Linked DNA regions of Drosophila melanogaster. Changing the gene in region 1 together with any one later gene gives a genetic interaction. Each region holds a gene or a part of one and is shown in the gene's direction. Other genes may lie near its edges. The genes, in order: prd1, Nrg and Cul1.

Region 1 (3,754 bases):
CCAGAGTTACACGGGCGGGTATCGCTTCTGGTTTTATCCAAAACGATATCCAAGACATGACCACAATCAGAGCCGAGGGGATGTAGGTGTGGAACAAATGGTAACCCAGGCGTCGGCGCAGGTTGAACACAATGGCCAGGCAGGTGAAGTTACCTAGAGATAAAATAAATATAAATTATATTGAAAAAAATGGCTTTTAATAGTTTAGTCTTACCTGTTGAGTACTCTATAGTACAGTCGGTTGTGTAGTTATTTGATATGTCTAGCTGCGGCAACTCAATCTCCGTGTTAACCACAAGTGGGTCGGTCATGTTCCAAATGAAAACCAAATCTTCCACCGTATGGGATACTGCCAATCAAAACTCGGTTCAACACAGATTATTTGTAATTCGAGAAGCGGAATGGAAAGTTCCAAGCGATACGGGATTTGCAGGGTGTAGATAACCATTACATTTCCACCTACAACTCTCGATCATCATGGAGCAGATTTGCGTGTCATGCGGATAGGACTCAAACTTCATGGCGCACGACAGGACCAACGTGAGTTTGGACATATAGAGCAGCGTTTTGTCGTGGTACAGCCAGAGATAGTGATTGGGAATGCTCATCTCATGGAAGGTGACCTTTTTGGCGTTCTTAAAGAAGCAATCGGGCCGCCAAATGCTGTGCAACCAGTCGACATCCAATATGCGATACTGCTCACTCATGTTCTCAGGCAACCGCAGGCGAGGATCACGCCAGCTTTGTGCAAGGAAGATGTCCGTCACATAGGTCTAAAGGAGCATGATAAGCCAATTAGTGTTTGCTGAGTGATGAGTATTGAAAAGATGAACACATTCTACTGACCATAGACTCCTCGTTAATGGAGTCCAGGGAGAGGACCGTGACATGGAAGTAGACTACTGTGGGCTGGCCGAGGAGCTTGGGAGCCCGGTTCTTGTCGTACGTCTTTGAGGGAATGGGCAAAATGTCCGGGAGCGAAAGACTCGACTCGTAGTGGGAGACCAGCTCGGCGCTCTCCGTGTTATTTCTGCATATGTGGAACAGAACAGCCCTGTGGCGTAAATCTGATGAAACTGGGCAAACGCACTCGGACTCACCTGTAACCATGAACACAATGGCAGTGCTGGATCGATTGCTCCAGCGCGTGCAAATATATTGCCAACGCAATCAGGCACCTGAATTCTACCAATTTGCTAGTTGGGCTTTGCATTATGAACACACTACCTTCGGCTTTGATATTGTTCCTCTGGCACTCATTGCTCCGCAGTCCATGTCAATTCCCAAAGTAGCTCATCTCTGGGTGCGCTTGAGAATGAACTTGCTCGGAGGATTAGTAAGCGAGGAATTATATTTTACTCGTCGCGCAGCAAAAACCAATAAAGAAACGGCAGAGTTATCGCGACGATTGTGATGTGCTGCAAAGTGTGATAAATTGATTTCTAAGGTTTCATTCGCTTTCATTGGCATTCGCCCACACTACACTACTTTTCAAATTGACAACTGACCCCGGTTAGCGAAATGGCAAAGAGGAAATGATGTTCGCACCCACTGACAAGGGCATTAATTTAAATGTCCACTCTGTATTTGCGAATAATATCTGTGAAATATGAAAAACCGTTTGACTGCGCGAAACAAGCGAACTGGGCGCCAACTGTCGATGTCAAAAATGGGTTTATCGGCATGTTCCGGCATTTGCTTTCGAAGTACGTTTTCACAAACTGTTCTGGGTTTGCTCTTAACTTTAAATCCCAATTTTCTTGAAATGCAAATACGTGCTCTACAATATTTTAAATAAAAGCCGAATACAAACTTGTCTTAAAATTGAATTAACTCTTCAGGAACATTTTACATAATGTGTTAAATAATTGTTGAATTTTAAAATTTACAAAAATATTATTTGAAAACCGGAACTTCCCGTTGCTGTAACAGGCCGCGTTGCCAACCTCTTCTCTTATCTGGCAGCTCTGGCGCGCAATCAGCTGTTCGCGGAACTGGCAACTCTATGAGGTCAAAATATTGATTGTTTCACTTGCCAAGACGTTTTTTTTTGGCAATTCTAAAATGTACAAGTGGCGATAAATCTGCACATAAAACTCTTAAAGCAAGCGTAAAAGGAAACGTAAACCACCCAGATCGACAGTAACATGGAATCCTGCGATACAATCGCAGGTGAGTGACAGAAGCAGCGGTGTGTGAATTTAATCCCGGTGCGATTTTCAAGGGGGTGCTGGGTCAGGGGTCATTTTCCTTTGTGCACTGGCGCGATTTGCTGCGGCGCATTGTGCAACTTGTGGATATTGATTAATAGCAAGAACGCCGAGATACACAAATAATGGTTTACCGACTTTTACAATTTTCCGTAGGTTAATAGACGAAAATCACTGCGTAGATAACTCTTGACAAGTGCGAAAATCGAAACGACCATGGAATCACCTCTGTTGCCCAAGGCCAACAACAATTTGGGCATGGACAAGATGAGCTCCAGCTTGAACAGCAGCACCATGGAGGACACCACGCCCAGCGATTCGGGAGTACAACTCCTGGACTCGGAAAACAGCGATGTGATGGTGGAGTCCATTTGCTCCTACGAGGAAAACGTTAGACCGATGCCCCTCCCTTTGGTGGATCCCAACTCCAATGTGACTGCAGCGCCGGATGAGTCTATGACCATTAGCGAGTGCTCTACGTTCGACACCACGGAGAAGATTGTATACCGTCGCAAAGTGCACAAAGCTTCGTCCGCCTCCAAAACTCCCAAAAAGCGAGTGTCCTTCCACGAGGACATACTGAAGAACACTCGTACCGACAACATTCACATTGAGCATGGCTTTATCACCTACAAGAACGGACGCAAGTTGGCCTTCGCTAACTCAGCGGGCGTGGCCGGCGCTCCAGGACGATATTCCTGGTGTCCGGATCGGGAACGTCCGGAGGGACCTAATGAACTCAGTGCCGCTGGCAGGGAAGACGATGGCGAGGAGGCTACCGGTGGCGGAGGTGCCAGGCGAAAGAGACATCTGGTCTACCGAAATGCCTGCTCGGATGTGCTGGACTACGACAACATTTTTGACACGGACGAGGCGCCCGGTCTGCACTATGACACCTCAGGTGTCTTTGAGTACGGCCCTGCGACCCAAAAACAGGAAGAGCAACCCCAACTTTACAAGTGCGTGTGCAGCAGTTCCAACTCCAGTTTGGATTCCGACGAACAAGACAAAAATTCCAATGCGAATTGTAAGCAGTACGAGCAGGCTAAGAGCAGCTCATGTGATTGCATTGGTATGAGCAATGCTAACAACAATCTAATCGGTAAGCTATATAACATTCTGCTTAAATCCTTGTGATGTATATCCACATTAATCTTTATCCCACAATTAGGTGACAATTGCTACTATTCAGAGCCCAATATCGGAGATGCTGACAGTCCCAAAGTCAAGTCCGTATGGAATAAGGAGAAGAAGCCGAAATCAAGCTGCTTAAAGAAAACTAAGCTACATACAAATGTCATACTCGAGCAGGATCTCAATGGGCGGGTAAAAAAGTTTAACGTGCACGACATTAAGCACCAACTGCTCGACAACAGTAGCAAGATGATATTTGGATCGCTAAAGAGCATCTTTACCATGCCATTGCCGGAGCGCGGAGTTCCCGAGGGCTCCGAAGACCTGCAGGCGGTGGTGGAATGCGTCCCTGAGCTGGAACAGACACCAGAGCACAAATCGCGGCCGGCGGCCGAGTCACCGCCTCTTAG
Region 2 (3,754 bases), on another chromosome or scaffold:
TTGACCGCCAGTTTGGTTCAGGTGAGTTTTGAATATGCTAAGGCCGTTTGCTGATGTATGTACATACATACATACATATGTCATTATAAACCCTCCGAAAACACAACGCTAATGTGCTGCGATCGTTTCAGGTGATGCTGCTGCTGTATATTGCCCACATCATTGTGCACGCGATGTGGAAGTGGAAGATCGATCCGGATAACTCGGCCATACCCTACCTGACGGCCTTGGGCGATCTGCTCGGCAGCAGTCTGCTGGCGGTGGCGTGGCTCTTCACCATGTCGGTGGGCATGCAGTACGGATCCGGAATGGAGACACTAAACGCACCTAACTAATGTAGCTAACGAAATAGGGAGTACGGAGTAACGTAGAACGATAAACAAGGCAGCCACACATACACACACACCATACAATATAAAGAACTGTTATGTACCTAAAACAAATATACAGAAAACATAGAAATTGTACGTATAGCCAGCCTCCTCCAGCCACCCAAAAATCTTAAATCCAAGACAAAAAAAAAAAACCTCCCAACACCAAACGGAAACGGAAACGGAAACCGCTATAAAACGAACTAACTTTTAATGATGCATGTCGAATGCTCGAGGCGAGAGATATTAAGAGATATGATATCATTTTACATTGTGTCCTTCTTCACATGGCTTTTGCTTGTGTTCCTTTTGCTCTACCGAGAAATTATGTGCGATTATGGTATATATACAGGCTATATATAGGCATATGTAGAATTGCAGGCCGCTGCGTCATATTTTTTAAGGCTTTTAGGACAATATTATACACATTTAAAGAAAAGTATATACATTGTATAGGGAGAAAAAGACGACGAAGAATTACTAAAAGAACATTTACGCCACGCAAATTGTTTTCTCCCACTTTGGTTCTTGATTCTTTCGCTCTTGATTACCTTAAACAGCCAAATAATAATTGCAAAACGTAGACGTAAATAGAGCCTACTTAAATCCTTAATTTACACTTAACCAATTATGTAGTATTAGCGCAGATTTGATTTTTGCAAGTCTCGCTTTCGATTTTGTTTTTTTTTTTAATATTACTTTTCTCATTGTCCCCTTCCATCCCCCTTTCCATTTCCCCCCCGCAGAGCGCGAGCGATAAAAAGAAATAGGAGAAGCAATAATTAAACCGCGAATTGCGATATATATGATTGCAAATTAGTTAGGACGATGGAAAGGAAGTGTGTATGCAGGAGTTTGTGCGTTCTGCTCCGCATCAAAAAGTGAACAGGGATTAAAATGATGAGAATGAGAGACGTTCTGAAAGGAAATGTGATCGATATTTAGTTATAACAATAATAATAATAATAATAATAAATTAATTGAAAACGTAAGAGAAAAGGCATCAATATTGTGTAATACTTGAAACAATAATACCAATTAAATAAATATGTTGGAATAAACGAAAGAAATCCAAATAGTTTCAATATCTTTATAATTAATTATGTTTCTGTTTAGCGTTGCTCAGAATTGTAATTAAAACGTAAAACCATTTGAATTTGAATATTTTGGCGCCCAGTTCATCAATCGATATATCATTCATGTTATGGGTAGCATTGAACACACTATCGATAAGAGTCTCTAAAGAGTTACAAATATCGATAAGAGCGTAGGTTATTTAAAAGTATATCGCATCCCTGGTAATCAATCGATAGTTGGTATATCTTAGATAAATATCGATAACCGTAAACCAGTTTGTCGGTGATGCCACCCCGCATTCCGTGCGTCCGATTGTTACCGTTCGCGAGGCTGGCAGTTCCTCTCCGCATTCGAAAAGAAAATATCCGCGCTGCTGGTTGTGTATGTCCGCCAAATCGTATTTACTGAAAACTACGCCGAAAACACCGCGATACATATTCGCAGCCGAGCGAATATATATCGTTATTTGGGTGTTTAAGCACTAACTTTATTTATTTTTTCCTAAAAATTCCGCGTGTATAACATAACTGTCCCAGTGTGTGTGTATATGCGTCGGTGTTAGTGTTAGTGAGCGCCGGGAATTGAAAATAAAATAGTAAAAAAAAGAGGAAAAAAAACGAACTGACGCCGCGTAGAAAATTGTCTTATTTACTCCGCCAATATATAAATTGGTTTTAGCTCTGCCTTCGCTTTTTTTTTTTAGTGTGCGTTCGTGTGTGTGAGTGTGCGGGTGTGCTTGTCTGGGAATTGTTTTAAAAAAATAAGAAAAATTGGTTGCCAAACGAAAGGAAGAAAAAAAAACCCAAAACAAAATTGTTTGTCTCCTTGCGTTACTTCCACCTTCATTTTTTGTTGTTTTTTTACTTTGCACACTGTGCCGCACCCAAAAAGTTAAATAGTTGATGGTTTTCATTAATGCAATTGATTAAAAATGAATGGCAATGCAATATTGTACGAAGCACACGATGACAACAAAAAAGGAGAAGGAGAGCAAATCGGAGGACGCCAAAAGCCACGCAAAGGCAACAACAACAGCAACAATGGGCGCCATTAACTGTACAAGAGCGCTCAAAACCTCAACATTTAAAGCTCTGTGTTTTTTTTATTTTTCCTATTTTTTTGTTGTATTCTAGTTGTTTTTGTATGTACATATGTATTTACCACGAAGCCAAAACTTCGTAAGCGAGTTATTGAGTGGCTCCTTCTCACTCGCTCCGTCTCTCACGCTTTGGCGCGTCGCCCTCTCCCGCCTTCCTCTCTCTCTCTTACCTGAGTTTTGAGTTTTGGATTCTTGAGCGCTTTTTGGCAGAATCCCGTCATCTAGTTGTTGTTGCTGCTGCTGGCTTCTATGACTTAAAGGTAAGCATTATGGATTTGAACCAAGTTTTCGTCCAAGGGCGTAATCTTAACTCCACACACACTGTTTTTTTCTTTTCATTTTTATTGGTGGCTCTAAAACAGGTTTTCTAGCAGCTAGCGAAGATGGTGACGAAGAAGAAGAGCGCAGACAATGAGCGCGAATTACGGCATGTGTGTGTGCGTGTGTCGGTGTTCTTGTTTTGGTGTGTGTGTGTGTGTGTGTGTGTAAGGTGGGGCAGCTTCAAGAGATCACTTTTTGAGCTCTTTTTACGTTTTTTGCCCTCTCCCTCGTTCGTCGCCACTTTGGCGCTCTTCTCGCATTTTCACATGTACTTTCCACGTTCCTAGCGATTTCTCTCTAAATTCTTTCGATTTCATACCTCAAGTACAGAGATAACGGGTTTTCCATTTACAATTTAGAAGATACAAAAAACAAACAATCTTTTAGCGTTTTCAGTTTTATTTTCGTCTAAGCCATTTAATTCATTTACTTTAAAATTCTTTAAATTTAGCAATATCTGAAACAACTGATTTTCAATTTTTTTCAATGATTCTCAATTGCAAACTGAATTGAGTTTAGTTAGGTAAATATATACATTTTGTACTTCTCTCCGCTATTTTTTGTGGTTTTTGCTTTTGACCATGCGGTCATCGCGACGACGTCATCGTTGTGAATAGGTTTATATATATGTATGTACATATATGCATATGTATATGGCAGTTCGTTCCGCCCCAGCAACGCCGTCGACAGCAATGCCTCCGCCCCGAATCGACCCAAAAACGTATCAAGAAAAATAATAATAAATAAATAAAGAAATAACAGAAACTGAAACTGCGTCAACTGAAGCAGCATTAAAAATTAGCTAGTTAATAAATGCCCTTGTTGGCCTTTTGGTGTGGGGATGTCCGGCTAAAGATACAAGATACAATAAGTGATGAAGATATTA
Region 3 (3,754 bases), on another chromosome or scaffold:
AGAAGTGTCGGAAATGGCGGTGCGACCAAACGGATCTTTGGCGTGTGCATGTGTCTGCTATTTCATAATATGCGTATGTTCTGGCGATTGACCTCGAACAGGGTGTGGTCCTCTTCGTCACTATTCACGTCCTCGATGGCCATGGGCAGTGGTGTCAGCTCCTGGTTGGCGCGGTCGCCCTGCACGCCGTACTTGCGCTCCGCCCGGGAAAGTCGGAGCCTGCAATGATTTGCGATTCGATTAGTCTTATCACCAAAAATTGCTAGTATAATAACTTAATAATGTAGGTATGTATGTATAAAGTAAAATTCAGTATATATAGGTAGTCTGTTTTGCATATAGTCCACCGATAAGAATATTTAAAGCTACATATTTAAACATTACGCTTAGTTTTAAATTAGTATTCTAACAATATTTACTGGAAATTTTAATTTCAAGGCACGATAAAGGATCGCTGTAAACTTTTGAAATCCTTAAAAATCTATTCTTTGCTGTTTTACCTTTGCATTACAAAATAATAAGGAAGACTTTGAAATAACCTTTCATGCTTTTCTGGACTCTAGTCTAGAGCTCTAGGATATGTCCTTCATTAACTCACCTATAAACCCTCATAATAAGCAGCAGTATTGCAGTACTGGTGATTCCCACGAGGATGTAGACAACAGCCTGGCCCGGAAAGTCCACATCGGGGGACATGGGAGAGCGTTCAACATGAACATCATCCACGGGAAGACCTCCCGGAGGCTGCACCATTTCCGGTGCCTTGGCATCTCCTGGTGAAACTTGTGTGGCAACCGAAGCACCTGGAGCAACCGGAGCAGGTCCGCCATCGTCTACGACCACCATAGAATCCTTTGGTCCTGCCGGAGGATTCTCTGCTTGCGATTTCTTCACGACTGGCTTTTTGGCCTCCACCTCAGCAGCCGGCGCACTCTGCTCCGCAATTACCACCGTCTTTTGGGGCGTCTGGGTGGCTGCGTCACAGGATTGCTGGTGGAAGAACAGCAGCAGCAGTGCTGCAGCCACTAAGCAGAAGCAGCGACAGGACATCTTTTCGTATCCAACTATCAAAATTACTAAATATAGCCGCTTCTAAGCATAAACAATGACCTTTTAAATTTCTTTGCTGCACTGTTTTTGTTTTGCTTGGCGTCAGAGTTGCCGCACATGTCAAAGCAAACGAATCGAAATTGAAGTAAATGCGTATGCCTTCTATACACGGTCACATTGGTTTGAGTCCTGGAGGAGTTGTGTTTCGTACGGGCATTAGGGTGAACCTGTATAAGACTATATAAGCATACCCTAATTATTTGAAAAGGGTTTTATTATGCAAGTGCTAAGACCAATCGTTTTATATAAAGTATAGATTGTTCTCAAGTTCCAGGAAGTGTGCCCAGGAAAATGACATCTATAAGAAGGTTTCTGTAACCGCTAACGGATTTGTAAAATCTAAGATACGAACCGCGTTGCCGATATTTTACATCACGCTTTGAAGAGCCTAACAGCGATATTTGATATTATAAACTATAATATAACTGCTTTCCGTGTAAAGAATTCCCTGAAAAATGAGATCGCCACCAATAGTGGCGCCCAATAAATAGATCGCCAACGATAGCTGGTCTTAAGCGATACCACCGTCGAGGGCCTTGCAGCGCAATGGCCGAACGGTCACACATTTTAATAGTTAGGAATAAACGAAAGTTAGCAATTTTCACAGAAAAAAAAAATTAATTTAATTATAAGCAAAGCAGTGAAACACAATTTTAATTTAGTTTTAGTTTTAATTTTAGCAGCGTCTGGCAACAGGTAATATAAAGCAAAATGAGGGAAATGCAAAGAGACGGGATTTCGTGCTTTGAAAATGGCGAACAAAAGAGAAAAAGTGTGTGTGCTCCAAGGGGAAATCAAATCCATCACGACGTCACGAAAAGAAAACTCAGTCGCACGGCTCAATTTACCAGGAAAATAAATTTCGTTTGGAGGGAGCTATGTGAAAAATCGAAAAAAATGTTAACAATTTAGTTGTGAAATGGTTATGTCCGCTATCTTTTCTCTTGGCTTTATGTGCCTTTGTGTGGGTGCGGGTGTGTGTGTGAAGGCGAGGGCGACTGCATATGTGTGCATGCGAGTGTTTATTTAACCAGGAAGTTGGGTTTTCGAACACGATCTAACGATAGCGGGGGCGGTGGTGGGGCTTCACCTGCCATGCGATTGGCCAATACCCTACATTGCAGGGCATGTCCGACCACCGCGCATTGCATTACAGCTTGTGCGTGCATGTGTGTGTGTGTGTGTATTCCGCAAGCCTCTCTTTTATTGCTGTGACATTGGATCATAATAGGCGACCTTCGGGTCGTCGCTTTTAACGTGGCGAGGCCTACTACATTCCCAATCCCATTCCGTTTTTGTACCGATTCTCTCATCTGCAGATTGACACTTTAAATTCCAAAATTGGAACACCGATTCGCCAAGATTCCGGCCACAACTCCAAGGACGAGAGCCGCGAAACGACGCCACCTGGAAAGCAGCAGCAATCCCCTGTCGCCCGCGCAGCATTCGCCACCTAGGGTCATTGCCTTCTCCAGCCCAGCGCCACTGCAGGGACAGCATCCTCCAGTGGAAGAAGGCAGAAGGCCGTTGCCACAACCCACCGCCGCCAGAATGAACCGCTCCGGCAATTCCCAGACCACACAGAAACTCGTCAACCTGGACGATATCTGGAGCGAATTGGTCGAGGGCATTATGCAGGTGTTTGAGCACGAGAAGTCCCTCACCCGCAGCCAGTACATGCGTTTCTACACTCACGTCTATGACTACTGCACCAGCGTGAGCGCGGCTCCAAGCGGACGGAGCAGCGGAAAGACAGGCGGAGCGCAGCTGGTGGGCAAGAAGCTGTACGACCGGCTGGAACAATTTCTCAAGTCATACCTGAGCGAGCTGCTCACCAAGTTCAAGGCCATCAGCGGCGAGGAGGTACTCCTGTCGCGCTACACCAAACAGTGGAAGTCGTATCAGTTCTCCAGTACCGTTCTGGACGGCATCTGCAACTACCTGAATCGGAACTGGGTGAAGCGCGAGTGCGAGGAGGGGCAGAAGGGTATCTACAAGATCTACCGACTGGCCCTCGTCGCCTGGAAGGGACATTTGTTCCAAGTGCTAAATGAGCCGGTCACCAAGGCAGTGCTCAAGTCCATTGAGGAGGAGCGTCAAGGCAAGCTCATTAACCGGTCGCTGGTCCGCGACGTTATCGAGTGCTACGTGGAGCTCAGCTTTAACGAGGAGGATACCGATGCCGAGCAGCAGAAGTTATCCGTCTACAAGCAAAACTTTGAAAACAAGTTCATCGCAGACACATCAGCCTTCTACGAGAAGGAGTCGGACGCCTTTCTGTCCACCAACACGGTCACCGAGTATCTGAAGCACGTCGAAAACAGGCTGGAGGAGGAGACGCAGCGCGTCCGCGGCTTTAATTCAAAGAACGGTCTTTCCTATCTGCACGAGACCACAGCGGATGTGCTGAAGTCCACATGCGAAGAGGTGGGATTGCCTACCGTGTCCAACTTTAAAGCCGCCTACTAACCGAATCAATGTCTTTCAGGTTCTTATCGAAAAACATCTGAAAATCTTTCACACCGAGTTTCAGAATCTGCTCAACGCAGACCGAAACGATGATCTGAAACGGATGTACTCCTTGGTCGCCCTCTCGTCCAAAAACCTGACAGATCTCAAGTCCATCCTTGAGAACCATATACTC

Evidence for each region.
Region 2: of prd1 (region 1) and Nrg, changing one suppresses a phenotype caused by changing the other (phenotypic suppression), as found in Drosophila melanogaster (one study listed by BioGRID).
Region 3: of prd1 (region 1) and Cul1, changing one enhances a phenotype caused by changing the other (phenotypic enhancement), as found in Drosophila melanogaster (one study listed by BioGRID).

The regions. Positions count from the first base shown.
Region 1 is NT_033777.3:11,785,041-11,788,794, reverse strand, and holds the start of prd1 (pruning defect 1), read left to right. Parts: upstream 1-1,780; 5' UTR 1,781-2,172; intron 2,173-2,366; 5' UTR 2,367-2,426; coding exon 2,427-3,312; intron 3,313-3,381; coding exon 3,382-3,754. Other genes in the region: HisCl1 (Histamine-gated chloride channel subunit 1), read right to left, coding at 1-153, 215-349, 464-773, 847-1,030, 1,101-1,213.
Region 2 is NC_004354.4:8,515,592-8,519,345, forward strand, and holds the start of Nrg (neuroglian), read left to right. Parts: upstream 1-1,896; 5' UTR 1,897-1,918; exon of another isoform or gene 1,919-2,807; intron 2,808-3,754. Other genes in the region: CG33181 (uncharacterized protein), read left to right, coding at 1-21, 132-335. UniProt on the Drosophila melanogaster protein: Essential for septate junctions. Septate junctions, which are the equivalent of vertebrate tight junctions, are characterized by regular arrays of transverse structures that span the intermembrane space and form a physical barrier to diffusion.
Region 3 is NT_033778.4:7,915,303-7,919,056, forward strand, and holds the start of Cul1 (cullin 1), read left to right. Parts: upstream 1-1,651; 5' UTR 1,652-1,806; intron 1,807-1,875; exon of another isoform or gene 1,876-2,032; intron 2,033-2,429; 5' UTR 2,430-2,661; coding exon 2,662-3,537; intron 3,538-3,598; coding exon 3,599-3,754. Other genes in the region: CG12159 (uncharacterized protein), read right to left, coding at 63-219, 599-1,050. UniProt on the Drosophila melanogaster protein: Core component of multiple SCF (SKP1-CUL1-F-box protein) E3 ubiquitin-protein ligase complexes which mediate the ubiquitination of proteins involved in cell cycle progression, signal transduction and transcription.